Styela clava: one gene and its partner. The protein of the gene in region 1 purifies or fractionates together with the protein of each later gene. This does not show direct contact. Links are inferred from orthologs where the notes say so. Each region holds a gene or a part of one and is shown in the gene's direction. Other genes may lie near its edges. The genes, in order: protein NEDD1-like and gamma-tubulin complex component 6-like.

Region 1 (17,058 bases):
ATTTTGTAGGGTCCGTTGAATTTAAAACGCTGGATCCCAATGTAAAGTAATTTTATAACTCGGTAAACATTGCCAAACCTTAGATTTTAACAGAATGTTGTTGTGCTTGATTTCAAGATAAAAGTTTGGAAGGGAACAACAATTCTCGCTCGATCTACCCAATCGATTTGACTTCTTTTTGGAAAAAAACTTGTAAACTTAATCACGGCTTGTTCTCTAGCCAGTTCCACGCAGATGTTTTCCATATGTACACGAGAAGTGTGTAGTGAATATTTTTATCCAAACCCAACGTTTTAACTAAACAATTCAAGCGACAATATCGCGGGAAAATTTTGAATGTGTCAAACCGGGAACTATAACTGTAGTTAGGGCAGAACAATTACGAAAAGTCAATTCCACGTATTGGAGGAAGTGCTTGTGGATGCGTTTGGAAAGTTTTGCCAGTGTTGTTGCCATTTTTTAATGGCACCCGTCATTATACTTGTGAAATCCACACTATTATATATAAATATATTATCAATTATCAAGGCGAAATAGGAATTAACAACAAAACTGCTGCACACAAACAATTTAACCTTTGCATTTTTAAATGTTTTGCATGACTGGAAACTTTTCGAAAGCACAAACATTTTATTAATTGTACAAAATAAATTTTCTTAAGCGGGGGGGGTACATTAAATATTTTAAACACAAGTAAACACTGAAGTATATCATAGACGGTTTTTGACTGAATTCAGAAGCGTTTCCTCCATACCATTCGCATATAGATGATAACCGGCCTAGGCCCAAGACTTCGCACTTCGGAAATTATGGAAGTACTTCAACAAAATGCGATGAATTTGCGGCAGTGTTTACTAACACTATAGTAAATTCGAATCGAGGAAACTCAGTAATTTCCGGCAAATTCATATAAAAGTAGAATTGAATCCTCTATTCCACTTTACGGAATTCAGTACCTTGCCGCCAATGTTACCTTAGCTTAGTGAGTGACAGATAGAAAAAATGAGTTGCATCCTTTTGTCAATTCAGTCTGGGTTGTGATTTTAATCAGATGTATATTTCTCTTCAATTTAACAGCTGCTAAAAATTGTTCGAATTTTTTTTTCAGTATTGGAATAACGTGGAAAATTAGTGGTGGATGTACCCACCTCCGTTCACAATGGTGAAAATATTTTTAATTTGGAAATCGATATGATGCTGCTCAACATATCGCTCTGAAAGCATGCCAAAAATTGTCGAACGAATTTGATTAATGTATAACGAATTTTAAACCGGAAGTCGCATGCGCCCTAGAAGCGCTTCGAGACGCTTGCGCATAAGCTTCGCACACGCCTTCTGCATTTTTATTGTGACTCGTGGACAAAGCATTATGTTGGCCCACGCAAAAAATAGACGCGACACATCAGTGCCAATCAATCTTCTAAATGCTTTATCTGATTGTTATGATTTATGTTAATTTAAAGATTTTTGAACTATTTCTGATGCCTTATTTTCGCTAATGTACATGTTCCTTCATCCTGTTATAATCAAAAATCACTACCGAAATCGTGTTTTATATATTCTATTGTAAACTGTTACCAAAAAATGGAATCCAAACACATAACAAGCATTTTTGACAATTCAATAGAATAGAAGCAGCAGCACTTATAACTGTACCTAATATGACCCACTTCTAACATTATTACTGACTGTATTATGCCTTGTGCAGTAGGAGAATTGTTGATGAAAAGTGCTCCCAAAAAGCACCTTATTTATGTATAGACTGTATATGTATTGGAATTAATCTGCGGCTTAATACAGCAGCGAGATTTAGGCATTCAAGACACCACGCACACGCCCGGAACTCAAAGGCTCATTTGTTAACCATATAGTGACACGTGAGCAGGAAAAGGAAATTATATTCTATTTCCTGAAATTTTTCAAATCTAATCAATTGCGTTCGACAAGACTAAACTTGTTCAAATTTTCCAACCTAATCTATTTTTAACATTGGTAGCAAATGCATAAAGTATGTTACTATTTTGAGATATTACTCTTGGCCTGTTTGTCTTTATACATATTACACTATAACATGTACACTATATGTTGAACGAGCAACAGAATATCCAACATAATAAAACTGATCGGGATTCGAAAATGAACTATTTTAAATTTTTTGATTGCGAATGTTACATCAAGTTTGCTACATACCTTGAAGATATTTTCTTCCTTTAAACCAAAATTTGTATTTGAGTATTTTTTTTCTGCTTTTCTTCAATATGCAATCAATTTTCGGAAATTTTAAATTCCCTAATGTTGACGTGGCCAATAGGTTTGCTTCGATTAAACGGAAATCACAAGATGTACAGAGTATATTTGTCTAACTGCTTCATTAAAGATAAAACAAAAACAGAAGTATTAAAATTCATTACTTTGTCATATTTTTCTTACTCAATAGACTGCTTTTCCTCTCTTAATAAAAAGCGGACGGATCTAATCAAGTATATTACACTATCCCTTTCCTTGTCACCATTATAATAATTCCGGATAGAAAACACCGGCCGAGTTAAATACTTTACTTAGTTAAACAAAAGAGAAAAAGAAAAGGTAGCATAGCCTGGAACCTTTTTCTCTTTTGTACTAAGCGCCATAATGTAATAAGCCCAGTCTGTTTCTGTATGGTGCGTTATCCTACTCACATATCACGTTAATCCCCAGCCCACACTCGCCCGTTGCGACACAACAATTTTTCAACTTTTAATCCACTACACACAGGCCTTACGATGTAAAACGAGATCATAATTTTATGCACCAAAGAGGTGGTAAATAGTATAGCATTGATTTTAAAGCATATAAATTCTTAATCCTTAACCCTCGAGATTTCATAAAATTTATACATGATACTTCCAAATACATGAATGTATATATTGAGTTGTTTGCAAAAAACTAGAAATGAAAATAGAAAAATAGCGACTCACGAGTTTTCTCCATATATTATGGGCAAATGAAATTTCAAAATTTGTCTGATCTTCATCAGTTTTGGAAAAAATAACATACCCGGTCTGTCGTCTAATTTAAAATAGCTCGAAAATATTCATGCCAATGCGGACATTAATTAAAAATAAATGTGTTTGTACCTTCTGGACCCCGTGTTTTTAATTGAGTCCAATCCAATTCAAACTGGACTTTGCGTTTTTCTAGTCAATGATGTAATATTAATCAAAAGCTGAATTGAAGAACTGTGAACATTTGCGGTTATTGAATGTTTATATTTACCCTATTATACGCGTTTTATTTATAGTGATTACATTTTCGGCATGCTGAAAGTTTTGTTGGTATTTAATATAGAAAAACAGATTTATTTCCATATTTTTGTGTGTGGAGTCAGTGATAAACACCTTTTTATGAATTGTGAATCCAACATTCGGCCATCTATTTTGCATTTTACTCAATTTGGAAAACTGCAGGAAGAAATGAAAATTTCCAATTTAATATTGCTATATTTAAAGATTCAGTTGTCGAAATAACTTGTTCGACTAAGTTAAAATATATCATCAGTTATAATCGGTTTGAACGATCGAAAAAGTCGCGTTAGGGAACATTTTTGCAATGAATGCAGTCTTTTTAATAGGAAAATTGTTTTCAGTGGTCCTACGACAATGATACGATAATACGGATACCCGATGCATTCCTATACGCAAGACAATTGGAAATGAGGTAGATAATGCGGTAGTACATCGCGGAAACAACACAAATTTTGTTTTTCAATTGTCATTGTGAATGCAATTAATAACTTATAGGTACTTAGTGGGGAAACAACGTAAAGCTATTGTGTTCCCTACAATTTTGTTTCATCTAGAGATGATGAGATTGCCCCAAGAGTATTTCTCTCTTCTCACACCACGCCTAACTAACTCACTTTGTTGCACAGCTGGCTAGCCTCATGACCAAAACGAGTATTTCAGTCATCAAATAGAACACGTGCTCGCTTACTTTTTCGGTTTCGAAGCCATTTAGAAGCGCGTGTTTGCCTTTGAAACATAAATAGGTACACACCAACAGGGAAAAGTCTTATGATTGCCGCGTACTTAATTTTGCCACGCATATTTGTATTTTCTGAAACAGAAATTTAACAGTAATTTTCCTTTGGAAGCTTTCTAATAAATTACAAGATTCGATAATTGAAAAACATCTACAAATATAATAGTGTATGGGGAATTTTTAGTGAACGAAAAAAACGGTAAAATTTTGAAATATCAATGTTCTATATCATTTTTTATTGAATTAAATTCTGTATCCATAGTATCATTTTTACGTTGTGGTTATTGAAATCATAATTAGTATTGAGATACAAATTCTAATTCTGCTTGGTGTTACAACATTACAGCTGTAAAATACCTCCGACATATCACAACTATTTTATGATCGTAATATTTAATATTGTACTTTAAATTAAGTCTTATTTAAACACAAATTCATATGCAATTTATTTAGTTATCGCCTATGGACAACAAACAGTCTATAATTTGAAATTGATAGATTTAAATTTCTTATTTCATTTCATGAACCTGATTTGCATATTCTGGCGAGCGTTGAACAATCTATCAGAAAATTTAAATATAAAGATAAAAGTGGAGGGATCTAATAAACAGTCCGAACACTTTAAGCTAAATTTGTGGATAAATGACTTTATGACATCTATTTATAAAACAATTACAAAATGAAATAATAATTTAACTGGGAAAAATTAGGAAATCCCGGTCGTTTAAAACGAAACTTCTAGGCAGGCTAGATTGTGTATGAAATACTTCATGAATATACAAGATTTCCCCAACATAGTAAACAAACAATCTGTGCATGAAAAGCGGTCAGGTCTGTAATATAGGATATCCCGTTTTCATAAGCTTTTGAAAACGGAAAATGAAAATCCTGTATTCTCTAATCTTTTCCTTCCTAAATTGCCCACCAATACTGGTACATTTTCATTGCCTTTTTTGTCCGTAAGAAAGACAAAAAGTCTTATTTGTAAACTCAACTATTCTGTGAGCTCATAGGGAAGTCTGCAAATGTCACGACGTGACTATATAGTCATCTTTATAAATCATATCGCGGGTCGTCACCAAATTCGTGTCATAGAATTGAGCTAGTTGTTTTGTACGCTTAGTTCAACCCGAATGATGTAAATAAACTGTAACTCTTCTTAACAAAATACAATAAACAAAAAGTACCCAAATTACTGAAAAATGAAAAAAAATCTGTCCTTTATCACTAGCGCCATTTTGTCGAGCTACGCGGTCTTAGTTGTTTTAGTTATAAATGCGCCAACCGCAGCTCAGCCTGCGTTTTAAGATCACGTGATCTCTGGCAAGGCGCACTGAGCATGCGCATCATGCATGTACTGCACGCGCACATACCATTGCATATTGTGCACGCGAGCTTACTTGCAAGCATACATAATTATAGTACATAGGCATGTAAAGTATTCAACCATGCTGCAAAATTTCCCATCAACCAACCAATGATATTTGATTGAAAGGACAATTGTTACTAAATTTCACAAATGGGTCTCTGAGCGATTTTAAATTATTCACATTTTGGGAAGATGTTGTTTACAATCTGAAATATGGCATTGAACAATGGATGAAATAAGGATGGAATTGATGGAATTTTACGATGAACAAATACAAAAGCTGTGACAGCGTATGTATGCGACACTCAAACTTGTGCTATTGTAGTCAAGTATGAAACTAACTTTTGTCATGCCAGTTTACTTCTGTGAGGGGGTAATTTCAGCGGAATAATGAAACAAAAAATAATAAATCAAAATGCTAAAACTGTTCGCAAAAAATCATAGCAACACGTACGAAAATTTCCGTACATATATTCTCAAGATTCTGTAATATGGTTATATATTTGGTTACATATTTTGCGTCCACAAATTTATTATGTTTTGATACAATGGCATTAAATTACTTTGAATATATCTTAGAATTAATAATTTGATACCTTTATGCTGGTGGTATAAAAATGCAAAATAGATCTCAAAATCTCAACGACTGTTTATCCGAATAAGCGAATTCATAGATAAGATAATGGCAATTAAAATGGTAGAGAATGATTTTTCACAAGCTCGGGTTATGTTTTAATTAAGTCAGATACTTCGCCATTACCATGGAATTATATTTAAAAGTAACTGTTTCCATTTATTACTATAAAATGCGAGTAAATGTGATAAAATTGTGCAAGTACATGAGGGCATGATTCCAGTTTATTCGTAGCATGACACTGTGAGTCGTGACGAAATGAGCAGTATTTATAGCCTGTGTGTGGATAAATAGACGAAGAGTACCTACATTGACTTACATTAATGTAATTTTACTTGGATTGTATTTTCACGCATTGGACAACGCTGCATGGAGTCAAATACGCGTCCTATACGGATTAACGTTAGAATTCCTAAATTGGATAAAATACGATCCATAAACGCAAATTGCAAAGAGAAGCATAGTATCATTGAAACAATCTCAAGAGAAATTTGTTAATTTGTCGATAATATTGTGTTAAAGTCGCCATATCAAACACTCGTGGACAGCAGATTTCTCTAATCTAATCCCTATGTGCCACGGATATCCATAAGGAAACGCTAGCCGGTAACGAGGTTCCGGATTACGAGGAACACCACGGTCCTGTTGTTTGTTGTCTCATTCCATTCCCTTCCGGTTTTTGTTTTCTTTCCCCTTTCTATCAGTTCGCATCATCTAACGGCGCGGTACGGATATATATATATATATATATTTGAACGTATATATGTGATGTATTAACATTTCATGATACCGTTTAAATCCACATGTCGTCAAGCTAATAACCGAATTGCGTAAGTCATTTTTGGCGGTTTTGAGTTTTTTTTTTATAAAATAGGTATTTATGTAATGCTGCGCACCTACCTGTCTGTTAGGAATTCCGAAACCCATAAAAATGGAGATTTTGTATGACATGCACATTTGTGCAATTGTTTCGTCATAATGAATTATCGTTGTTACCGCAGGACTACTGTGACGTCACAAAGGCAAAATAACCTCGCCGAAAAATTTTCTAGTTTTTGCATCTCAGATTCTAGTTTAGCGCTTATAAATCTGAATTTATTCTATAGTATAGGGAGGTATGCACTTGTGATATTCACTGTCCGAGTCCAATTCACCTTGGTTGGCTTTTATATTGGATGCATTGCTGTTTTATTCTTTATTTTTAATCTAAGTCTAATTTCGGTGGGTTTGCAGAGCGTGTTTTATTGATGAAATATATATTTTTAAACATAAAAAAATGTACCTGAAACAGATCAGCAATTTGGGGGATTAGACATCGTAGATACTGGGAATTAAATTCGTTTTTGGATTGTTTGGTTTTCAGGACTGGTGCATATAGTCAAGTTGCAAAATTGCGTATGTCCCCAAGCCATACCCACATTTCTGCCTAAGTCACAGTGCGCCATTATGACGTCACATAACTGCGTCAGACAAATTAAATTAAATCCGGCTACGATCAAAAAATTGAACCATGGCAAATTATGGACTCTCGATGGCACAACAATATTATTAGGAAGTTTTTTACGTTTTTCTCAAAACTGCTAAAAATGACTTACGCAATTCGGTTATTAGCGTGACGATATGATATATATGTGAAAAATAGAAGTTATAATTGATTTGACATTCCACATGCCTGTTATCTGATCTGTGCTGTCAAATAAAGCTAAAAACACCGTCCAATTAATTCGATTTTGTAATTTATAGAAAATTTTATCGAGATATATCCGTTTACACGAGATAGTCGTCCATATTAAAGAGTTTCGTGGGGAATTTTTTCCACCAATACATATCAGGCTTGGGCATATAAATAAAGACTGTAGAATGTCAAAGCTGACTTCAGTTTACAAACAAATTTTTTTTTCTTCAAGATTACACGTTTACGGTTGACAAAACAATAAATCTCTCTCTCTCTCACACATTTATCGATCCGTAGTTGTTTCTGAAATATGACTGACATGAAGTTTTTGCGTTTTTTATAAAAATGAATTTTGTAGTGTCAGCGAAATAACATAACTATTTATAATTAGCACACCACAGGCAATGAAATTTGTATATTGCTTGAATTCATTGAATGCTTTATCACAGTAAATAGTAGTTTTAAAACAATAACAATATTATTGTAGCAGTCTAACATTCCCATGATAATAACAACGTCCAAGTGTGGAGTGTCTAACTTTTTGTCATGAACCATCAACAAAATATTTATTTATCTTGAAGTTTGACATTTAATTGTTCAAAACTATCAATACAATGTAGCTAATTACATACAAAACTGATATATATTGGTGCGGTTTTAAAACAGCACAAACAGCACAGCAGTGTTTCGAAACTAAATGAGACTTAGAACTAATAATTTGATACCTTTATGCTGGTGGCATAAAAATGCAAATTAGATTTTCAACAACTGTTTATCCGATTAAGCAAATTCATAGATATGACATTGACAATTAAAATTGTAAAGAATGATTTTTTACAAGCTCGGGTTATGTCCTAATTCAGCTACTTCGCCATTACCATGAAATTATATTAAAAAGTAACTGTTTTTATTTATTACTATAAAATGCGAGTAAATGTGATAAAATTGTACAAGTACATGAGGGCATGATTCCAATATTAATATTAATATTTTGTTGATGATTCATGAAAAAGAGTTAGACACTCCACACTTGCACGTTGTTATTATCATGGGAATGTTAGAGAGCTACAATAATATTGTTATTGTTCTAAAACTACTATTTACTGTGATAAAGCATTCAATGAATTCAAGCAATATACAAATTTCATTGGAATCATGCCTTCATGTACTTGTACAATTTTATCACATTTACTCGCATTTTATAGTAATATATCAATTGAATTTCCCCGACTTTTATTTTTACTTTCTCTCCCAAATCATATATACTGATTTATATCAACCTTGTTGATTAATTATTGAATGGATAAGTTTATATTTGTGTTTATTCTTTCATTTATTTCAATTTTTAATATTGACTTGTTTTCAATCTTGGTGTCGCAGACTTATGATGACCATTTTTGGTCCTTCGCGACTTCCAGTCAACTGCAATGAAATCCGTTACTGTAACGCATATTTATTTTTTTCCTATTTTGAATTTGTATTGTGTTTTCTTGCACGACGAAATAAACTTATTGTCTATTGCCAGCGATTATGTGACCCATGTCATAGCTCAAAATAAAGACAAATCCCATGAAGCTCACAGGAATATCTGAAATTGATAAAAGTAAAAGCCTTCTACAAATAAAATCCAGCTTTAACTACTAAAAATTTCAAAACAATTGGTCCAGTAATTAAAGAGAATAGCGATTTTTTTAAAACGTGTCAAAGAACAAGAACATCAAGAATAAGAAGAGCAAGAACAACAACAACATAATAGTGAGTCATTTGGTGACTTATTCCTGTGCCATGGCGACAGCTACCGGTCTGGGACATTTGCCGCCATATTCCCGCCTCAGTTGGTGCTTGGTTCACGTCAAATAAAGTGTTATAGTCCCTTCGGTTCGCATAACCGAGATTGTAAAAGTCTGAAAGTTCGTATTTATCCCGGGGTAATGAAAGTCGATAAGACGACTTAATCATATGGCGTACCGGTACCGTACCATGGCTTTTGTCCCGTTATCAGTCCACGTCCGGTAGGCTATGGTAAAGGATTAGTTAGCCAATTATTTGTTTTAGATGCATGAAAAAAATCAGAAGGATCTGACTAGGTTTATAGATACCCTAGTCGGGTACGTACTGGTAACTGGGTAGACTACCGGTAGAGGGGTAAGGCAAGTCAACAAGTTTATACGTCTGTATGAATCTGTGAATTGAATCCAAATTCTGAAATTTGTTATCGAATTCAAAATTTAGGTGTATTATTGGAGAGAAGGAATTTAACACTGTATTATTAACTCGGTCTGTCTCCATGTTGCATGCGCATTAAATATATTTGTATAAATTTTTTAACAAATTTGGCATAAGTTTATAAGTAGGCTAGATATGCAAGTCTTTATTAATTCTTGTTGAGACAGTGAGAATGTGGGAATGACTGAATGATATGTACGGTAACTTATACAGATTTTCTTTAAACGTTGTTGACATTGATCAGTTATTAAATGTTAACGAACTCATGAAAATAAAGCGGCAAAAGTTTGCTTTCATTGTACACATAACTACAAAAATGAGGAATAAAGCATTTACAGTAGTTGATTTTTATGTTATATCAGAATTGAAATTTGTGGAATTTATACATTTAGGCTATATCATGTTTTAAATTTCTATAGCATTGTATAATTAATAATAGTAATATGTCTATATGACTCTCAACCATGTTTAAATGAACCAGGGATGATTTTTCAAAAATTTTAACACATCCAATGGAAAAGATTTGAACATGCAAGATTCAGTCTCAATGTTTGTGTCAGCAAGTGACAGTGTCAAGGTATGGGATGCAGAACATATGAGAACATTAAGGCAGTATAATTGCCATGATTCTTCATCTGGTTCAAACTTTAAAGATGTTGCATGGAATTATGATAATACTGAACTGGCAAGTGTATCCACAACTGGAGGTATTGTCTTGTATGATTGGGCAAGCAGTGGAGGAAATAATAATATAAACTATCGAGAACTCTCTGAAAGCACTGAACAAACTTCTGTTTGTTTTGGACACAGTGGCTCCTCTCTATTTTCTGGTGGCACCACAGGGGATATAAATTTATGGAATTGCAAAACTGGAAAGAGAGTGAAGACTTTCAATGAGTGCCATCAGTCACCAGTCAAACGTATTGATAAAATAGCTGAAGACAAAGTAGTTTCTGCATGTGCTGCAGGGGAAATTATTGTATGGAAAATAGAATCTGGTTCTGTTTGTACAAAATTAAAAGCATCTAAACCTCAGTCTGTACGTGGATTGGAACAGTCACCGTGGGTGACAACTACATTGGGTACAACATCAGACGATGGGGCTGTTCATATCTGGAATACTGAAAAACAAGCGACGAAACATGTATTTACATCTCATGATGCCCCTGCAATGGATTTATCGTTTTCCCCTTTGAATCATTTACTACTCTCATCGTGTGGATTGGACAAAAAGGTTATATTTTATGACATTCAGGGTAATAATGTTGTTAAAACTATAAACAGTAGTCAACCATTGACTGCAGTATGTTTTTTAAGTAATGGTGTCCATGTATGTGCAGGAAGCTCCATGGGGAACATTTATAAATATGATTTAAGGAAAGCCGAAGAACCTTTATACAGTATTCACGCCCACTCAACCTCAATACAAAGGCTTGTTTCACAAACAAGTAAACAAAAATATCTTCGAAAAAGCTCAAGGACATCGAGATCTAGTTCTTCTAAACAGTCTGGGCAGAAAACACAAAAAAAAGATACACAACAAAAGGATGAACTGAAGCCTTCAGCATCAGAAAAATTCAAAAGCAATGCTAAGTCACCACAAGATCACGCAAAGAACAGAAGATCCTGGTCAAACAAAGTTCCTGATATTGAAGTTTCATCCAATGAGATAAAACCGATAAATGGTGATGGTATTATTAGTCCTACCAATAAAATCATACCTGGTAGGAATAGCCAACTTGAAAAAAATATAGGTCTTCAAACTCCTGCAAATCGAAGTGTTGCATCAATTCGAAGAGACACTATGGGCTCGTACTGTGAGGGAATATTCTCTCCTGTTGCTAGTGTGAATGATAGCATACAAGATGATGCAGCATTCACCCCTGCATACCACAGTCAAAACAAACCACAAAGGACAAGCAGGGGGTCTTTGCTTCCAAACTCTGGTTTCATTCATCCTATTACAAGAAACTCTGCTAATCGTTTGCCCTCAGAACAAAATGGGGAAATAAATAAAGCTCATACTCCATTCACTAGAGAAGAGGAGAGCACAGCTCGGGGTAGCATCAGTGGACAGCTGGGCAGAGGCTCACGGAGTGATACAAGGGTAAATCATTCAACTCCTCTTATGAACAGTGCATCAGCGATATCAGTTAATGGCGCAACAGCATCGAATTCCTCTCTCAGTCCAACCAGCGAAAATGCTTCTGGGAAATTCCGACCGCAGAGTGAGGATTCCACTTTAAATGATTTTGTAAATGGTGGTGCAGTCACCGATGCGTCGTCAACACCCCATCAACAACCAGACTATATTCAATCAAATCCTTTTCAATATCAGCTCGATTTTTTACAAAACACTGTACGAGAGATGGTGGAAGAACATGAAGATAACATTCGTGATGAACTAAGACATTTGCATTTGCAATTGATTAAAATGTTTGCGGAACAAAATGAGAGAATAAGGCAACTTGCTGAGCAGTCATCTGTAAATCCTCTCCTATTACAAGAAATTGAAAGATTGCGTATTGAAAATGATAGATTGCGAAGAAAGTATTAAGTATGGGGTACCTTGCTTCTGTTATCGAATTAAATGACAAAACAGCCAGGTGTAAAAAAAGTAATTCGACAATCGACTTGTGCAAGAACCAAACCCAACTATGATTGGAATTGTTTCGCCAAACTAAAAGTGTCTTTCAGAATTCCTTCAGAGTTATACAATTTATCACAAAGTTTTCCTTTTTTTTACAAAGCGTAGTGTCTGTTGTATTCAACATCTGACATATGGCAAATCATTGCACAATGCTGATAAAAAATGTTCTGATTAAATTTTTCGTCATATATATTTATATAAATTATTGGAACATTTGATTGAATTCGAGTTTGAAAAATTTAGCAATGTTATTATACTAAATCGAATTATTCCTCTGGGGGAGTAAATCTGAATTTAAATTTTTTCAATATGTTGCAACAGTTCACATTTGATGAAAGTAAATCAGATGAATGTTCCCAGCTCTGTTAAATTCCATGCTAATGGTTATGGTTAAATAAAATTGTTTTGTGAGGAGTCTACAGACCTTTGTTTATTTAAATAATATTTACTGTTTATACAACTTTCTAACCATTCATAGTTTCTCAATTAACAATGCCCAATTCAAATAACTTTTAATCTATACATTATTTGAGAAGAATGTTAAAGTGCCTTTTGCCTCGGTTTTGTACTAGAATTGTGTCGTGATGCAGCTGGCTGTTCACTCTTGATGCCAAAGTTTTGTTTATATGGTGCCTTGCATATCTCAATGTTGATATTCTGTGCCTTTTGTGAATTGATATCTATAGTAGGCGTAGCGAGATAGTTACAGATATTACTCTTGCATGCTTGCCTAGATTTATTTGTTACCAAATATAACGTTTCAATATAGATAGCAAGTTTTTTAATTCGTAAAAACAAGGTGTATCGAGTGCATTCTAATTATCCTATATGGTTAATTGTAGTAACGTGCCTCTAACTAATGCTCATCTTTATCTGTTTTTTTGCTCTTCCTAATATTGCAGCAAAAGTCAAAACACCTTTATTGAACAGTTGAAGGTTCTTGAACATACAAAAATTGTATTCTGTAATGTTTTGCTAGTCAGTTGATCCAAACTTCTGCCTTGCGAGGATACTTAAATAAAATCTTGTCATTCTCTTCTCTGATCCAGATTATGATATTTTTGCTCAATTCATCAAAAAATCCCCGTTGCTTAAATTAAATTGTAGGATTGTAACTTGTACCAAGTTCAAGTTATTTATTATCTGAAATATCATAGATTGCAAGATGAAGAAACTTCTATAAGTTTGAATAGAAGACTGATGATAAGAATATTTAACAACCAGTTAAAAGAGCAAGAGTTCAAAACTCTCAGCTATGTTGCGCAACCTTATTTATCCCTAAAGCTCTGGGAGGACAAACTAGAAACTATGATCGCCATTAGCTTATCTCAAATAACTGACAGGAGCAGTAGTACTCGATTCTCAAAATCGTCACAGTTGCTTTTTTAATTGCAGAAAGTGTACACATGATAAGCATTAATAAAAAAAAAATGATAGATTACTATCACAGTGATTGCACAAGTGTGTTGATGAAAAATATCAAATTGTCATTGTTCACTATTACTCATATAAGAAACTTATCATTACGAGCATGATTGCTATCACACTTATAATTTCATATCAAACAGGTCCTTCCTTGTATGTTTAGTTCTGTTCACAACAGAGACTGAGTTATGCTCTTGGAGAATTGTAAAGCAATTAGTTTAATATGTAATGTTCGAAGCTAATAGAATTTTTGCTGCTAATTTTTGTTAGGAGCGTACAGCGCCAAAGGGTGAGGCAAGCGTTATTAAGCGAAAACATTAAACAGCAATGGCAAATTCATAACACTTTTCCAGGATTCATTATGCCAAGTGGATCGAAAGCTGTCTTTATAGTTCTCATCACATTTATCCCTTCATCTCCAACCTCTTTCACCAGCAATTTCTTCTTTCCTAGTCCAATTCCATGCTCTCCGGTGCAGGTTCCTCCCATGGATAATGCTTTCCTGGAAATAGGAAGAAAATTGCACTGTCTAATACAATTACAGAATTTTTGCCAGTCAGTATAGTCAACCAATACGTCTTGGTTCTGGCACAATATTCTGGTGAACCATACTGGCAACGACTTTAGCCAGATCATTGAACTATGAAGGCAAGCGATCAGGAGTAAAATCAAGATGCATAGAAACAATGCTCAAATATATGGACACCAAGGCCGTATCTAATATTTTACAGTAGACACCAAAGTCATCACGGCTTCGCCTGACCACCAGAAAGCATCGAGAGCTATAATTTTGATGACGTCATTGCACAGAAAAAACAAATCCCAACGAGGCCACAGAAAATATAAATAAATAAAAAGAATAGCCTTCCAGCAACAACAATAATCTTTAACCACTGAAAATTTCAAGGAATTGGGCAAGCAATTAAAGAGAAAGCGATTTATTCATAACGAGAAAAAGAATTCTAACTGCATCAACAACATATGCCAAAACAATCTATAGGTCCAATTTGTGTCCAATAAAATATAATTCCAAGTTCTAAATGATGCATTTGATTATAACGAATCTGATAATTCATCTTCGTTAAAGCAATTCGAAATAAGTACTATGCTAGTTGGTTTACATCTTCATGTCTAATTATGATTGCTTATTTAAAATACTTACTGTGCAATCTCATTAGTGATTTTTACAACTAACTCTTGTTCTGCTTGTGAATCCGGATCGATGCATATCAAACAATGAAAATTTCCATCTCCTACATGACCAACTATTCCTGCAGTTAGACCACTGCTTGCTATCAATTCGGAGGAAAATATAACTGCTTCAGGGAGGCATGATATTGGTACACAAACATCTGTTGAGTAAGCCTGAATGAGAAACAGATATTCTTAAATATTATCTTGGGCAGATTATTTCAGATGAAAAAATTGTCACTCTCATGTTACTCTTGGAATGATAAATGAAAACAATAATTATGAGACAAATTCTTGATACATCTTAACCTGGTTTACTTTATTTGATACAGTAGTGGGCAACAAACTACCGGTATATATAGTATTGATAAATTCCCTTTCGCAATTCAAAAACTTCGAAGACTCCATAAATGGCCTGTAGTATTTATAGTTGAAATTTTCAGTTGTATAATATCCACCACTTACATTACTCCAAATATAGACAATTCAATAGATTTAAAAAAAATGTTTAGTTTAAGCGATGCTATTTATAAAAAAATAATTAATGATTGAATTATAATGGAATCTTGGTTTTGAAAAGAAGTAAGTTTTATAAACATGGGGGAAAATGTGAAAACACAATATCGAAGATCAACTTGTCCATAATATCTCGAAAGATAAATTCCATACCTTACATCCTGGTACTAATGCAATCATTGCATACAAAATATCATGTCGAGCTTTCCATAATTTATTTCTTTCTTCCTGACTTTCAGCCCAACTGAAGTTTGAGCCTTTATTTGCTTTAACGATGTCAGCTTACAAAAAAATAATGTTATTATAAGGTATTTGTTAAGTCACAATGAATTTCAAGCTCTTGCACCATACACAGCATTTTGAAATATTTATGCCCAGTCAGAAAATGTAGCTTCATAACGGAAAAGTCTGAACACTAAAATCAATCGGGTAGTTCCTAACTGACATCAATGAATACCAGTAGAAAAACGAACTAGTATATCTATATATTGGCTTACCATATATATGAAACAAAAAACCGGGACAGTGCAGATTGGACAAACCTTGGTTCAATTCCCAGGCTTAGTAATATTCAAATCATTAGAAAGCGTGCCATTTCTTTTCAGTATTTTGAATAATTTAACGACAGTACAGCTAACGTTAGATGTTAAATTGAGATATTGAAAATATATTAATTATGACATAACAATATAGTAATTCTTTCTCTCCCACTGAACTAGTCAAAAATCAGTGATGAATGGACTGCCTCCATTAACAAAAAAAGCATTCTGTATTGATATTGAGTAAAAAAAAATATTTATGATTGCCATACTACATGACCGAGACATTAAGGTCTACTAGGCAGGATGCTATCCATATATATCAATAACTACAGTAGCATGCACATACCTGTCATATCAACTTGCTCACGAGCGCCTTTTTCAGTGCCATGAAACTCAAGAAAAAGTGATGGCTTCACTGGATATGATAAATGACTAAATTTATTGCATGCTTTGATCATATTCGTATCGAGAAATTCTATAAAGAAAAATACATAACTAATCAACATAAAATCAAAATTTGTATTATAATTTTAATCAGGCACAAATATGAAGAAATAACTTCTCAGGATGCAATGAGTGAAGAATAAACCAGGTTCAACCTGTTTCAGAAAGCACACATCTGCGAGCGAGTGAGTGGTCGGAAGCTTCGAGTAAACTTGCCAAAATTACTTAATAATCAATCTACAGAAATCCTATCTAGTTTTATTTTAAAGTCATAAAAAACAAATAGGGCCAAGGAGGTATAAATAGAAAAATAATAAATTTTAATAAATCTTTAGCAGATATTCAGATACCTATCCTTGCAATTGG
Region 2 (16,717 bases), on another chromosome or scaffold:
GCCAAGTGCAAATGGTTTATTAATGGCGCAAAAAATATTCAAATTGTCAGTCTTCGCGCGATGCTTAAAATTTAACTTCTGATCTGTGTGATAAAATGTGATTCATCGGTCATCTATTCGATTTTTCAAATTTCTAAAAACATGTGCGGCCCGCCAATGACTTGCAACCTTTAATTTTGACCCGCGAACGACAAAAGGTTGCCGACCCCTGCCATAGATGCTTTCTCCAGTATATTAACTCAAATTGCTTCAAGTCCCACTGCAATGGCATTTAATGTGTAATGCATTATCACAAATCATAATTGGTCAGTTGCTTGGAATTTCAGTGATCTCCCATAAATTTGCTCGAAAGATCTGTCTCCTTTACCTCCGAGTGAGTGCGTGTATCCTTGCTCTTAGCAAATAGCAAATTCTCTTAAAATAAATATCTACCGGTATAAAATATTTTCATCTAATAATGAATTTTTTTTTTAGTGATTTGGTTGTAAAGCTATATTAAACCTAAATATGTATTATCTCTCATCAGTTGTTAGTTTCATTTGAGCATGTACAATTAGATAATAGAATTTTGTAATTTAGGATTGATTTCATGCCTTTGTATTTCAGACTTATACAGTTTGGGCAGCACAATGTACTGATAAGTTTACATGCAACAGAATCCATTCCTATGCATCAATATTGCCTGTAAGTACCTACTTGAACAAGTGGAAATTTTTTATTTTAGTTTATGGATTGATCTGTATGGGAAAACACAACTGGTATTAGGGCTGGGCATTTTCGAAACGCTGGTGTTTCGAAATCGAAACGAAATTTTTCCTTCGAAACGAAATCGAATCGAAACACACGTTTGTCATAAACAGTAAAATATGATACCATTATTACCCATTGAATTTAATGTATAATGACATATATTTTCCACAATTAAATCCACAAAAGGATAGCACTGGATGCTAATTCGAGAGGATAAAACGAAAATGATAATTCCACGAATGTTTCTGCTCAATGACAAAGCAGAGGCCAAATGGCACCAGGATAATACGAATTACGTCATTGTTAGAGATGGGGCTCACAAGCAGCATAGCATGGGGCCTCTCGAAGTCTCAATGCGGCCCTGCCCTCATCTAATGTAATGGGTGGGGTCATTTTCTACTTTATCCGATGCCACAAATCCTTGTGATCCAGTGTGGTAATTATACCAGGGAGAGCCATAACCGAGTACCTGACTATTTCAAATACATTCTGGAAAAAGATATTTTTGAATCTTCCGAATTCCGAATACCTTCTAAACTCCAGGAACATAGGAATTGGGCTTTTATCGATTTAAATTAGGTATTTTTTTGCTCTAAGGAAATAGACTTGGTAAACATTACAGTATTTATGATTTGTGGTGTATCTTGGCAAGCACAGAAAAAGGAACAACTAGGTGGAATGTTCAAATTATACAGTAAAATCAATATTAACTCGGATTTTTGATACGGCTAATTTTCATTATGACTCTGACTGTTTATCGTCAGCGTGACATCGACATCGTTGAGCTAAATTTGATTTGATTTCAGATTTATTGCGCTGTTACCCAGACTATCTCGACTATGTTTAAATATACCATACTAATTGTAAAATTTTTTCAATTAAAAACTTCCTCGACGTGTTACAAGTACTTCAAGTCGGCGCTGACTTAAATCCTTTTATGTCGGCAGTAATTTATTGCGCCTCGCAAAGAGTGTCTTCGAATACGATAGAACATAAAATGAAATGATTGTAAAAATTTTCAATCAAAACGTGGACGGCGGCGCTAGGACGTTTGGGCGATATTTAATATTCTTATAAACACTAAAAACGATATTTGAGAGTCACGATATTCGAATAAAATTGGATAATAAATTCGAATTGGACATCCCTGAATGATACCTTAACTAATTTCAGATTGCATTTGCTATGACGTCATAATATCCGTTTCGAAGGTGGAAACGCTGCCGTTTCGACATATCACTGTTTCGAAACAGTGTTTCCAAACGCTCAGCCCTAACTGGTATTCATAAATTTGAAAGTTGTAAATAATGAAATTTAAATTTTTTTACATTAAATGAGTGGAAATTTTGTATGTTAGTTCATGTATTGATTTGTATGCGAAAATACAGCTGGCATTCATAAATTTGAAAGTTGTTAATAATGAAGATTTTGAATTATTTTTGTCATTGATGAACTGCTTTTTTGTATTTATTGTATAATTTGCATTAAATTCACACTTGGAAGATCGAAAAATGTTAAGAATTTTTATAGCTTGAATAATCAAATAATTCCTCTAACTACTGAAGGAATTCAAATTTTTATGCTATTGATACCTGAGCAATAGATCTGGGTCTAGCATGAACCCACTTCGAATTTAAATCGGCATGCCAATTTAAATCCCTCATGCATTCTAAGTTGCTTTTATAGTTTGCATAATTTATTGCATAATTTGCATAAAATTTACACTCAGATATTCAAAAATGGTTGAGAATTTATATGGCTTGAATAATCAATTAATGTCCACCCAACTACTAAAGGAATGCGAATTTTTATCCTATTAATATCTATCCGGAGCAATAGATCTGGGACCTGGGTCTAGATTAGACCCATTTGAATTTGGCATAACTATACCAATTCAAATAATATATTCATCCATAGTTGCTCTTATAGTTCACTTATAGACTTCTTGTTTTCAGATAACTGCTTTCATCATCATTAGAAATGTACCTGGTTATCTAAGAAGTGGATACAGTGCATTTTTTGCTTGGTTCGGCAAAATATCATTGGAGGTAGGATTAGTACACATATTTTGTAAAGTTTGCAGTAAAAAATGGGGATGTTTTAGTTCAGGGATTATAAAAAAGCGGGGCTCTTAGCCCACCTACGGGATCTGAAATAACTGATGTAAACATATTTGAAGCAAAACTAAGTTTTATTATACAAGAGCATATTTTATTTTGAATAAGTTTTTGAAAAATACTGATATACTTTACCTAACCAACAAATTAACTAACCATGGTGTCAGCTTATTGTATTCCCCTTACACAGGATATCATAGTTCTATCTATATTTGGCTGGATTAAAAATCTGCTTGTCGAAATAATTATGGAGAATTATATTTTTCACAGAATAGAAATGTAATTCACTGCAAATACTTTAGTTTCCAGTATCATAACCCATTTCCAAATTAATATTTTTCAGCTTTTTATCGGACAATATCACATTTGGTTAGCAGCCGACACAAAAGGAATGCTCGTTCTCATATCACCGGAGTGGCCGACATTAAATCTTGTCATTACATCATTTATTTTTGTATGCATCGCACATGAAATCAATCTAATCACTGGTATTTTAACAAAACACGCACTTGGTTCACCAAAAGATGAGGTTATGAAAGTTCTAATACGATTAGCGGTATTTGTATCATCCGTATGTGCAATATCATTTATTAATAATACATTTAACCCCCCTACTTTCGGTGGTACATGAAGAAGTTTATGCCGGAGAACAACACTACTCATCTCGGCAGTGGTTTTCAAACTCTTTACGCCGCCCCCTCTTTTTAGAATTTGTCAATTCTCGCACCCCACCCTCAAAAATAACCAACTAATAATAAACTATAAATAACAGATAGTAAGGTGGAAGTATATATTATTCAAAAGACACATTGAAAATATGCGGAATGAACGCGGATTTGAGCACTGTATCTGTTATTGAAAAGAAAATTTGATGACCACTTCCGGTTTCCTCTGGATGGGAAATTTCTCATGCTTAAGACCCACTGATTCAAGTTCATATTCGGTTGAAAAAAAACTTATAATAATATATTACTGTGAAATAGTGGTGATTTTACTTATTTCTTAAAAAGAGATTGTAAACTGTTTTTTTTTCGTATGAATTTGTTGTTTACATGCTGAAGACAAAGTTAATAATATTCAACATTAACAATAGGCTAATATTTAAGAGTTGTACTTGAGTGTTTTTATGTTTTTTTTTTATTTTTTCAATTCGTATCAACTATAAAGAAACTATAGCATTTTCTTTATTCGATCGGAAATTTTATTTTGCGATTTTACATTATTTTTATTATTTTGAGTTTTATACACAAACGGTGTGCTTAGATTATCTCGTTGTTTATATTCTTTCATAAAATGATTTGTGATCGACATTATTTGAATTAAGTTGAAATGTTAAATATTATTTTCATTCTATGGTTCACGATTTGGAGCCGCAGTGAACTCAGACTGAGGCTCCAGCTTCACAGCCATTGATGTTTCGAGACTGTAAGACTGTTTTGGCATTGTGGGTTACGCATAGGAGGTTGAAATACCATGCTCAACACCCCACCCACTGTGTAAAAAATTTTGGTCACGAAACATTTACACTTTTTATCAATTCAATTTTGGGAAATATCATCTGGGTTGTTTGAAGATTTTTACGCCAACTTCTGGCTCCAAAAAAAGACTGGCAAACCATCTAAAATATCGTAGTATCCAGTTCAGAGCCCAAACCTACCTAAAAATTGAAATTTTGAATTCGCTATATTAAAACCATTATCGGTAATTTATTTGCACAAAAAATATTTATCCGCCTTTCATACCATAACATAAATATTTCATTTCTAAAGATTACAGTAACTGTAAAAATTGATAAACCAAATACGATTTTACATTATATTTTGTCTCACCTGATTTTTAAAATTTTGACATACATCTGACAACTACATCTAGATTGTTTTTCTGTAATAATTAAGTAGAAATTGTCAAATAAGAAGCCATTGTTTTAATTTTTGCAGCTAGGGAGACAATCCACTTTTTATTGTTCTAGTTTCCTTGCACAAAAATTAATTTTTTCACTGAAGGAAGATGTGCAGTAGTAATTGCACTGTAATCACTAGTAATGTTGTTAATTTATGTTTGTATCGATAACGCTGTTTTTATTATTCATATTTTATTTAATATTGCATTGAATTGTTACTTTAACTAGGTGTATTTGATTATATACAGCTATTATTAAACAGCACGTATTTACAGGCTTTTTGTCTATTTTTGCATTGTCATATGAATAATTGATTGTTTTCAACGGATATTTATTTTTCTAGTTAATTACATATATACTTCTTTTATATTCGATGTAATGTTTTCAAAATTATTACTGAATAGTGATATCAGAACAAGCGAAAGTATTTTTCACTCATTAGACTTATGTCACTCATTAGACTTACCTTCAAGAATTAATATTTTTTTTCAGAAAGAACTTGAGTGTTGGTATGAAAACATTTGGCTGCTTATCATCAGTCAATCAATTCTAATTACTATGTTGTCTCATTGTATCATGAACAGCCAATGTATTTATAATTACTTAATTTTTGTCTGGTCAGAAAGTGCCACAAGCGCACTGAAGCTCCTTTATAAAATTATCTCTTTTTATTATGAAAAGTTATAATAATTATAATTATCTAATTGAACCGGGTTAATTAATTGGTTACTTTTTCTCTGCCATAAAGCACCACAAGCACACTCAAGCTCATCTATTAAATTGTCCCACTGTTTTTGATGAATAGCCAAGTAATTGTAATCACCTAATTATTCTGTGTTAATTAATTATTTGACTTTGCCCTGGCCAGGAAGCACTACAATTGAAACTATTAAACTGTTTCACTGTTTTCATAAACGCTCCAGTAATTTTAACATCTTAATTAATTGATTAATTTTTGCCTTCTTAAATTGGGAATGAATAATAGAAGTAATAATTTCAAATCATATGTGAGATTCAATGTGTCAGTTGCACCACTGTAATTCCATTAATAGCGGAATGACTCAATTCAGTATTTAATAATACGGTACAAAATCAGAAATTATTTTTTATAATGTATCCGTTAAGATAGTCTTATCTACCACTGAAAGTTCTAATTGATCCTGTATCAGTTGGGAAGCTCAATGACAAGAAATAAAAAAAAACTACACCCTAAGTGAAAATATCATCTACTTTTAAAATTCTTACTTAGTAAATCGATATCTACAGGAAAAGTGTGGAGGAATAAAGTGTTTCCTTATGATGTAAAAAGTGTTCCCATAAATTCAAATAAAACAGCAAAATCAGGTCTAATAGGACTCCGAAGAAATTCGAAAAAAAATAAAGGCATTTCTCCCATCTTGAGAGTAAAAAAGTAATTTTTTCTTAACAACAGCGACAAGCAAGCCAACAGCATCAACAACAATTTAGCAAAACAGTCCATAGGTCCCCTTCATTTTGTGTCCAATACCCATTTGAGTTCTCTCGTCTCTTTTTCAACAGATTCATCAGAAAGTAATATTGTTAGTAATGTTTTTTTCATAAATATTTACTTTGGTAAACATCACATGGAATTTGACATTATTTTTCTCAAGCATGATATCTAGTTTCACCAATATTTTCCCTTTTCGATCAATGCTGTGAATACCTTTTATAATCACCAAATGCTTTTTCATATTAGCTGGGTGTGGTGTGCACAGATAAATGAAATATATTATTTCTTCACCAATAGCAGTCTTTGCTAGAACACAGTACAGCAATTATCACTGTATGTGAGAGCATGGTCATGGTAAAATAAGAAAAATTATGATGAATTTTCAAATGTTTTTGGATGATTTCATTAGTTTTTTCTATTGCTTCTATCAGTTTTTCAGTAGTTTAACTGTGTATTGCTTTCATATAGTGTTGGTGTGCATACTCGTTGAATATGAACCTGCAGACAGGACCGCAGAGCCTGCTTATGTGTTCGAAAGAGATTTATATGATCTAAGTCTTTGAATATGTTATGTTAGGTGACTGTACTTCCGATGTCTTCTTTACTTACAGATTCATATTTATAAATTGTTTCAGCAACAAGAACAAATTAATGATAAAGTATCATTAAAGTAAAAAAAAAATAGTCAAATATAGTTTATATTTTCAAGAGTTATCTTGATTAGAAAAAGTTTTATTTGGTATCACCTATTTCGCTAATATTAGATTTTTCTAAAAAAATCCTGGATTTTGTTGAATTCATTATTCTATGCATTGTACAATCTTTATCAATTCAATGTGATACATACATCTTTGATTTCGTGATTTTCTACCTTCATAATTTTTCATCGTTTTTATTAGCACAATGTGTCTGTCTGTATGTATAATCTGGATAAAGAAATTAAAATATAAGCTAGTGGCTTTGTAATGTGTATTTTTATTGTGTTCCAATGTGGGAATAGTATTGAAATATAAATCAGCTTTGAGGCATGTATGATTATTTTACATGAATAGTCGTCCTGTTATTGTTATTATATTGCTTAATTAAAAGTTTTGCATTTTTGCACAATTGATAATACATGTATAATATGACTAAAAAATGAATAGCATTTCACTTTTTGTATAAACTGAGAGTTTCCCATTCGCATTGACATTAACTTTTCCAGTGGATTGCATTTATCACATCGATAATAATTTAGAAAATTACGACTTATCTTGTAAACTTTTATATTTGAGAATAAACAAAAATATGCATTTAATAGCTTGCTTTTGTCCCACTCCTATTAGAATTTGTTTGTTTCAATTATGGTTTAATGTTAATCCATATTCAGACTTTTTGAGCGCTTTTCCAACTTTAGGTCAACAGAGCTTCAACGTTCTTTTTGTACAACACTACTCTGAATGATTGGTTAGATGGCAGGGTTTATGACTCTGAAAGGAATTGGCCGAACCTACCTCCATCCAGGCCCACATAGTTTACAAATTGACAGGCTTTTTACTTGCGATTTTTCTGATACCTCGGCATCTGACTAATCTCTCAATTCCATAATAATATCAACAAATAAGTGTGTTAAGTGGAGGCCAAAATGAACATGTTATTAAATGACTTCGCAAACAGGGTGGATGGAGCGATAAATGAGCATCTGTCAGAATATTAGAAAGATAGATACAAACAAATGTGCAGCAGCAGTGGATTGATGTGATTGTTAATAGTGCTTGTGGGAGCTTTCCAACTACCTATCATATTTGCTTTTAGGTGAGGGATTACGACCTTGCCTATAGTAGAGATTTCTCTTTATTATTGTGGACAATGTTAAACTGGTTAGGACGATCTTCATAAGAACTTGGGTCGGTATGTTTGCAAAGAAGGTTCCTTCCTATTTGTAATCTTCACCGCTGTCCAATATGTCATCATTTATTGCAATGGATGTGACATACTTAATAAATTAATAGTTTCTAAAATTTTATTGCATTCTGTAGATGATATATTATATCTATCGACGATCGTTGGTGATTATAAATAATGTCTTGCAACACAATATTAATTTACAATCCTGGTAATTGTTACTAAAATCATGTCACACAAAGTAAGAGATACAAAAACAGACCAGCGGAGTCTGACACAAAGTATTGAACGCTTGTGTACAATTCACTTGGAGAGAAATGTTTCAAGAGAAGCAAAGTATTGCAAACCAAAAGTTCCACTCAGCAAGCTTCTGAAGCCAATGAAAAAGGCTGCGTATGATGCACTTTTTGTCAGGTAATTATTTTTGGTGCAAAGATTGGCCCTTCGAATAGCTTGCTTATTCCGTGGGTTCCTGGTTTATCAATTTGATTATAAAGTATTTATTTGTAACAAGCTTCATTAGTCCCAATATGCATCAAATATAATCCATTTTCTAATCCTTTGTTTGCTGTATCTGACCTTTGATGAAATCAGGGGTTAAATGTTGCCTGAACAACTATAAAGTCTTTGTGTGCCAGTTCAGAAAATTCTGTTTACTATTAACCTCTTGTATATGACTAGTATTCTTCGCTTCTCTATCAACTACTAATGAATAGATAAAAATAATTCATTTTGAACCCCGTCACTGAAACAAAAAAATTGCAATATAAGTGGAAAAACAAATGATGACATACTATATAATCAAGCTTGGGAGCATACAGTCTGATCCCAAAATTTATATGTTTGATATTTTCGTTATAGGAGAAAGAAAGACGTCATGACTTTCACTGAAGATCTTTTATCATCTGATCAATGGAATGAAGAAAGTATTGTGAGTGCTGTAGCATTTAGAATGAGAATGAATCAAAGAAGGCATCATGATGCAGACAGATTAGAGGAACATACTGACAAATTATTGGCTGGTAAATATAGAAGACTATTCTGACACGTTTGTTGCTACTAAGTTGGTACCCCTACATCCAAGTAGCTACCTGTACTTAGGCTTTTTTGAGGCAAAGTTGTAAAAATAAGTTATAAAATCTACTAGAGTTTGGGATAAATTTAGAATACACATGGATAAAATTCACCATCAATGTCTGGCCATTATTGAGTTAGTTTGTAGAGCATCGGTTCCCAACCAGGGGCCCTTGTCTCCCCAAAGGGGGCCATGAATAGTTTGAGGGGGGGGCCACAATGCTGGGCACAAAACTGAATTTACCCTCCTCTTGACAATAAAACTTCCCGTTTCTAGTTTCATCACTAAATGAGGTCATTTCACAAGGTCTTTGGACTTTAAAGAGCATGAATTGTTTAAACATGATGGGATTTGAAATCTACCAATCAAAATAACACTCTAAATACCACTGGAATGATAAACAGGGGGACATGAGTGGTAAAAGCCTTCAGAAGGAGGCGACGAGCCATAAAGTATTGGGAACCACTGTTCTATTGATTGTTTTAAAACACTAATATTACATTTTAGCTGAAGCAAATGAACACAGAAGCTCTATCAGATTTCTTCTAAGTCTCGCTGATACAAGAAATTCTCCGAATAAACACTGTGATATAAAGAAGAGAAGAAAAGCACCAACGCGAGAGGAAATTAAAAAATTTGGAAAATTAAAAGGATCTTTATATCATGGAGATTATCCATACCATTTATTTCAACAGTCATACACACTTTATCCAGAGTAAGGAATCTTTTTATTCCACTCGAAAATTTGAAAGATTATTTACCAAGACTAAATTTATAGATTGTTTTGCTAAATTGTTGTTGTTGGTACCGTGGTTTTTGTTGGACACCCACAATTAATGGACATTCGAATTTTATTTTGAATAATATAGGGCACACCCTTATATTACATTTGATACAACTTATTTTAACAGTTCGCTATTATTTCACTGACAATTCGGTACGAATTTGTTTATGTTTAAATTCAATTTTGTGACATTGCAGTGATCATATTAATCATTTGACCTATGTGTCCATACATTTATTATGGATTGTCCTCGTGTTTTAAATTGTTATCTGATTTAACATTGAGTTCTTTTTTCAGTTGGTATTCCACAAATATTAATATCGATCAACCATTATTATATCCTGAGAGGAGTCAGAATACCGATCAAGATATGTTTTATGCAAAAGAATATTTTCTTCCTGACAAATTAGGTGGGTTAAAACAAAATTTGGTAGTATGCTTCTTTCTATATTGTTTTATTGAAATTCAACTTGAAATCAACCGTTATCTAAAAATGTTGTCCAAGAATTGTATCATCGTTCTGGTATATGGTCAGTTTTGAATCTGGGCCAAATGATTCAAGTTCGTATTCCAAACAGGATTTATGCTAAGTTCTAGGTTAGGATAGATAAAATACTCGGTTCAGTCTTCTCAAACTTCCTTATTTGTGACCCCTGCCCTCACCCCCCCCCCCCTCCTTTCTAAAGATTCGCTTGTGGTCTCCTGCTGTTATAATAAAATACCCGATTTGCTTTTAGTGCATTTCCATATATTATCTTCGTGCAGCGTTTAATATTAAAAATCTTTACAAATGAAAGTAATAAAAAAATGCATTTCAGACAAAGATTTCCACAAATCATTGCCAATTTATTGTAGCCTACTTTGAATTACGGCACGGCACTTTCAATGCATTTTAATATATAATCTTTGTGCGACGTTTAATAATAAAAACAATTGGAAATGAAAGTTAGATATAAATGTATTTTAGATTTCTGCAAATCACATTCAATTTTCTGTACTTTAAATTAAGTTAGCTGTCACGAATGGTATCTATTTGCTAATAGCCCCCATAGAACCACTATGTAGCACCCTAGGGAACCGAGGGCCAACATTGAGAAACTCTGTGTTGTTGTTGTAATGTTGTAATGTATCTATTTTAATACTCGTTTATAGGAAACAAGAACCCCAATGGATTGTATGGACTAGACTCTAAAGTTTTCTCTGATAAAGGTATTTAATCAAGCATATTGTGATGTTTTTCTGCTGCTTAGTAGTTTTCGTAACCAATTCCGTAACAATAACCAATCAGCAATTAGTCAATGATGACATGACAATGGCAATTTACGCAGACGCTCACTTCTTTCACTCAAGATATTCAAGCAGTTTTACGTGGTATTTGTCAGTTTTCAGTTGTGTTTCCATAAAATAGTTGAAATCAAATAATTTAACTGTCATCATGTCTACCTAGGAGCTTTAGTTGCAATAATATAAAATTAGTCCCGAATTAGCTGCGATAGACTGGATTGAAATATGCTATCAGTACCTGTAAGAGGAATGTGGTTGAAAGTTTTCGATAAAAAATGATGGTTTCAGACATGCAAACTCTCCAAAACACTTTCACAATAAATATAAAAAATATTTCACAATAGTAAAGTATAGAGAGTATATTTCTGGGGCCAAGGATTGGGGAAACATTCATTGTGAAATTTAAACATATCCATCCCCAGATAATTCTTGTAGATTTACATAATTAAGTTTGTCTACTTATTCAATGTTCGTTATTTAATTCTATTCAGGTTTAACGGATTCAGCATATGAGTTTGACAGTCAGACACGATTATATGGAGGTCTTCGACACAGTCGTACTTTTGATTTGGATGTTAAATTATCATATCCACCAATCACGGGTCCTATTGATATGATGGCCTCCCTTCCTACCTCGGTATGTAACTGATTTTATTGAATCCTTTTTTTTTCAAAAATAATTTTTTTGAATATATGCTTTCCTAATATATTTTGCTCTAATTCAGTCAGCTAACGTTTAGGTTTAATATTTTGAAATATTGCCATAATTTATTTGACACTGTTACAAATGGCAGATGCCTTGATTTGTACTTGTGCTCCAGCTTTTTAGGTTATTACTTATCGATTTTAATCGGTAAGTATGTTGATAGGTATTTGTCTGTCTTTCTGTACGTCTGTCTGTCTGTTAGATGCACGCGATATTGAATCTGCTCCAGATTTTGCATGTGCATTCATCATATGTCGGACCAGAAGCCTATTGATTTTGGATGATTTATGTAGTATAATTAGCGAATTATTAATTGATTAGTGACACAAGGTGTCACTATGGAGTAAGAGCGCTGTTTTGGGGGTCCCCTAACTTTCGATCGATAAGTCTTCGGTCTCTGACCGATATTCTCCTATTCACACTCGGCGTGAACAATGAATGAATGAGAAAAAATATGATTTTTCAGTGACTCTCTGCTTTGACTTTCATATTGATTATATGATTCCATATCTGTACATTATGCCAATTGAAACATTCGATTGTTACAAAAAATTAGTATTTTTCAATTTAGTAGCCGTCAGTCTAGCCGTAGCTTGTACCTTTACACTTGTTTTTTTACGATTTTCAAGTAGATCATCTAAACTTTGTAAATTATGTTTATTTTTGTACAAAAATGGAAGATAAAAATATGTAAAAAAAATTGGGTAAAAAATCCAAGTTACTTAGCCAAGATTAGCACACTGCCTGATTTATCTTGCACCTATTTTCTGATTAAATTCAAAACTTTGCTAAAAACTTATCAGATGTAAAACTTGCTTTTGGCGAATATTTCATAACATACAATATATTTTGTGCATTATCAGATGACTTCAGTAGACGAAGGATTTGTGTCACCAACATCAAGTATTGATTTCTCAGATTTAGAACAAGATCCAGCATCGTTTTCACCTCACAAATCTGACAGCGGAATATCTACTCCTATTGTTCCTTATCATGGCTACAGGTGATTTACATTTTTATATAGATTTTAGAACTTCTCAAAACAGGGGTCTGCATAAGCAGTCACTCAGATGAAAAAGATGTCAGAAGTCATTTTAGCTAGTTTAATAAATTTCTCTTGTATTGAACAGTGAATTTTCCCAGTTTGACTTGTTCGAATTTTTACGACTAGGTTATGTCACTCATAGCATTAACACTGTAAAAAAAAAATTTTTTTTTTCCAGAGTCCCAACTTATGACTTGAATGTTTGGAAAGATTGCTTGAAAGTAAAGAAAAGTAATCATCGGACATGGGAGACACTTGGCTTGTGAGTTGATCAATCAATGAAATAATAAATTTCTTCAATATTATTTGGTTTATCATAGTTATAATAAACAGTGCTTTTATCATACTCTGGATGCTGGTATGTGATTCAAGTCCTGATTACCTATTAGTGGTAATGGATTATGACAATTCAGGCTAAATAGGCAATCAAGGTAAGATATCTCCACAAGTTATCAGTTTGGTCAAAACGAATCAGCGTCTAGGACATCTGAAATTGAAACCCTTGGGAATATACCACTGTCCAATTTAGGATTCAATGTCACTTCCAGTTTTCAAAGATTAAAATATATTTTGTGTTCATCCCGGGAGAGAGGAAAGCGAACTATGACTCATCGTCTGGTTACCAGTTCATGTCGGGTATGGGGTTAGTTAGGCAGTTGTTTGTTTCAGATGCATGGACTTGATGATGGAGGAATACTTAACTGACCGGCGGTTACGTAAACCACCCTACGGCGACGTGGAGTCCAGCAATACTCTTGCACATACTTTTCCCCCACTGGATTCAAACCTGCGAACGAACCCACACAGGGTGCGGTGTCAGGTAATTATTTTGTTTTAGGTGCACGGATTTCATGTTTAATGATGGATTATGGTAGCTAAATAATTTACATTTTAGACCCGCTGGATCAACGAAACGTGAATTCTATCTCACTGAAGCCGGACCAAAAATGTTTGATGAAATATGGAAACATCGGGCTTCAGTTATTCATAGATTAGCAAACTTCTTAGATGGTGGAAATCTTCCAACGCTGGAATTCAGATGCCTGGAAGAATCGAAACTTGTTAAACAAGCCACATTAGTTATGATGGGTGTTTCATCGGATACATTTCAATTTAATAGAGTAAGTTGAAGATTTATAGTGTCAAAAAACTTTATATCTAAATATTTAAATTTGGATAAAATAATTTTGTCCTAATAATTGTTTTTGTGATCACAATTCTCATTTGCTGTTGTTACCTGCAGATATTTGCATTGATATACCTAATTTTGATTTAACATGAAATGAGGTGTACACACAAAGGGAAAAATGTGCGCAGTGATAGTTAGGAAGGCCACATAGAGGTTGCGTAGAATGCGGCTTCTAGAAGATATGTTTGATCTCCACAATTTCCCTGATTATATTTTTCCATCTATTTCTTAGTTTTTTTTAAAGGCCAGTCTCAATGGTTTTGCCAGTTGGAAAATTTAAACTTGTTTTGATATTGGGAGAACTGTGAACAACTGTGCTTCCCTAATTCAAAATTTTTTTTCTTACAATTATTTAGAAAAAATAGAGTAATCTTACTTGTGTTCCATTCTCCCTCGTGCTTGCATAATTTTGCACAATCTCACCATTTTGAAATCAAAAATTATATTCGACTTAAAATCGGTGGGCTACAGTTCCTATTAGCATAAAATGTTGTGTCCAATGTACGTTCACAATGTGAAATATCAGAATTTTCACTGCCTAGATTGTATTATGTTGTTATTGAGCTCTATTTTTTGGTACTTCCAGAAGAACATCTATTTTTCACTAATTAGTAATTTGTTCCTATTTGTTTGTTTCAGCTTGCTCAAATGTTTATTCCGCACAAAAACATATATTTTTCTGGTGTCGATCCTGAAGCTGTTTATTCACTTCTATCAAAATTCAGTGAATGGGGAACATGTTATTGGAGATTGGTTCATTTCTCTGCATTGTCTGTATCAACAATACATTCATCAAATCCTTTTCAATTATTTAACACTTCAGCTGTCTCATCGAGAAATGATAAAGAAAAAGGAGTAATTTTTAAGGTGAATTTTCATGTTTTTAAGCAATGTGGGGTCATAAAAAGTGGTGGACGTACCAGTCTAAGGGTCATATCGTTGGACTCAACTAAGGGTTACATCTCAGTTCTAAACCCCATGTCTCACCACCTCACCCTCAGTGTAATAGATGGGGCTGCAATAGTGTAACAACGTCTATGCATTCTGCGGTTTATCATGTTCGGCGCGTCAATAGGGCCAACCGGTGCAATGCCCCGGTTGTTTTTTCGGTATAATAAAAAATATTCGAAAAATACTTCAATATCGGTTGCACAGACTGTCTGCACTAGCCATATTCTCCCGACATGGTTCATTTTTCGCTCGCAAAGCCGAACGTCGACGGGGCGACGCCGATTTTGCCCCGGTTGCTCATTGTATATCGTATTCTCTCTTTTATCTTCCACTCGCCGCGTTTGTCTCGTTTGTTTTCTGTTTCTTTTACTAAATAATCGGGGCTAGCCCCGAAATTATGACGACACAATGCCGACGTTTCATACAACAACGTGTTGACATATTCTGCTTTCCCGAAGTTTCTGTTAATATGTCATTGTATTTATCTGGGTAAATATTGCCTTTCCTTTTGAAAGAGGTTTCAAAATAAACTATGTCTATATTTATTAATCCCTTGACTTGGACCGGTTTTAAAGACACTTTCTTATCGTTAAAAATTGTCGCTTTTGCCGATTGGTTGTTACCGATGGAATGGTTTTTATACAATGATGGGAGAACTTACAGCGCTCATCCTGTCCCCCTAGATGGGGGTGACTTGGTCCCGCAGTAGCTTGCCCCGGTTGTCAAAATGACCACGCGCCGCCACTGGCATTAGGGTCTCCCATGTCATAAATCGCTAAATTAAATGTATGGAAAATGCAGGGCAATACCTCCTGCTGTAATCCTAGCTTGTAGATATTATGCTATAGTGTGATAGAGCTTGCACTATAGTAGCACCAAATTGGATAGGCAATGCAGAACTAAAAAAAATTCTGGTCCTTCCATAAATAGTAAATCTTTGCAATTACACAAGACCTTGTTCAGATTGAAAGTACTGTAGTGAAAAGTGTTATATGCAAGGTTTTCAATATGCAATATTTTAATGCTAAATAAGAATTTAGGTCTTTAATTACAATTGGAATCTCATATATTTTTCAAATTTAGGCGTTTACTGATGCAGTCAGAAGATATCTACATGAATTTCAACATCAAATATTGGCATTGAAATTGGAAAATATAACTTTGCAAAAATTATCTGTTAAATTAAGGAAAGCTGGTGCTCAGATCAGGTAAGACTCATTTATATATCATTATAAGAAGTTATAGGATTCTTCCCAAATTTTCAAACTCTAAACGTATTTACTCACTGGTGTGTCATTGCGCAAAGTTTGGGGAGCCACTGTTTTTGTGTGTTGAAATATAAGTCCAAAGAAATAATAAACTTGCAATTGGACACATAGTGGATGGATTGTTCTGTTATTATGTTGTTGTTGTTGGCGGTGGTGTGAAATAAATAATTTCCTCTTTAATTACTGTAATAATTGTTTGAAAATTTTCAATGGTTTAACATTAATGTTGTCGCCAGAAGGCTATTTCTTTTATTTATTTCCAAATTTTTTGTAGTCCATATGAAATTAGTTTG

What was found.
Region 2: the proteins of protein NEDD1-like (region 1) and gamma-tubulin complex component 6-like purify together in Homo sapiens (affinity purification with mass spectrometry; 3 studies listed by BioGRID and IntAct, with this or other methods). This does not show direct contact. The link is inferred for Styela clava from reciprocal best matches to the Homo sapiens genes NEDD1 and TUBGCP6.

Annotation. Positions count from the first base shown.
Region 1 is NC_135253.1:16,886,302-16,903,359, reverse strand, and holds protein NEDD1-like, read left to right. Parts: upstream 1-10,305; 5' UTR 10,306-10,453; coding exon 10,454-12,481; 3' UTR 12,482-13,610; downstream 13,611-17,058. Other genes in the region: putative D-lactate dehydrogenase, mitochondrial, read right to left, coding at 14,336-14,501, 15,162-15,364, 15,860-15,987, 16,595-16,723, 17,043-17,058. UniProt on the Homo sapiens protein: Required for mitosis progression. Promotes the nucleation of microtubules from the spindle.
Region 2 is NC_135256.1:13,674,578-13,691,294, reverse strand, and holds the start of gamma-tubulin complex component 6-like, read left to right. Parts: upstream 1-7,759; 5' UTR 7,760-8,351; coding exon 8,352-8,536; intron 8,537-8,983; coding exon 8,984-9,144; intron 9,145-9,704; coding exon 9,705-9,912; intron 9,913-10,278; coding exon 10,279-10,391; intron 10,392-11,133; coding exon 11,134-11,190; intron 11,191-11,756; coding exon 11,757-11,902; intron 11,903-12,834; coding exon 12,835-12,974; intron 12,975-13,194; coding exon 13,195-13,278; intron 13,279-13,911; coding exon 13,912-14,137; intron 14,138-14,844; coding exon 14,845-15,072; intron 15,073-16,239; coding exon 16,240-16,364; intron 16,365-16,717. Other genes in the region: N-acetylneuraminate (7)9-O-acetyltransferase-like, read left to right, coding at 607-684, 2,706-2,798, 3,211-3,498. UniProt on the Homo sapiens protein: Component of the gamma-tubulin ring complex (gTuRC) which mediates microtubule nucleation.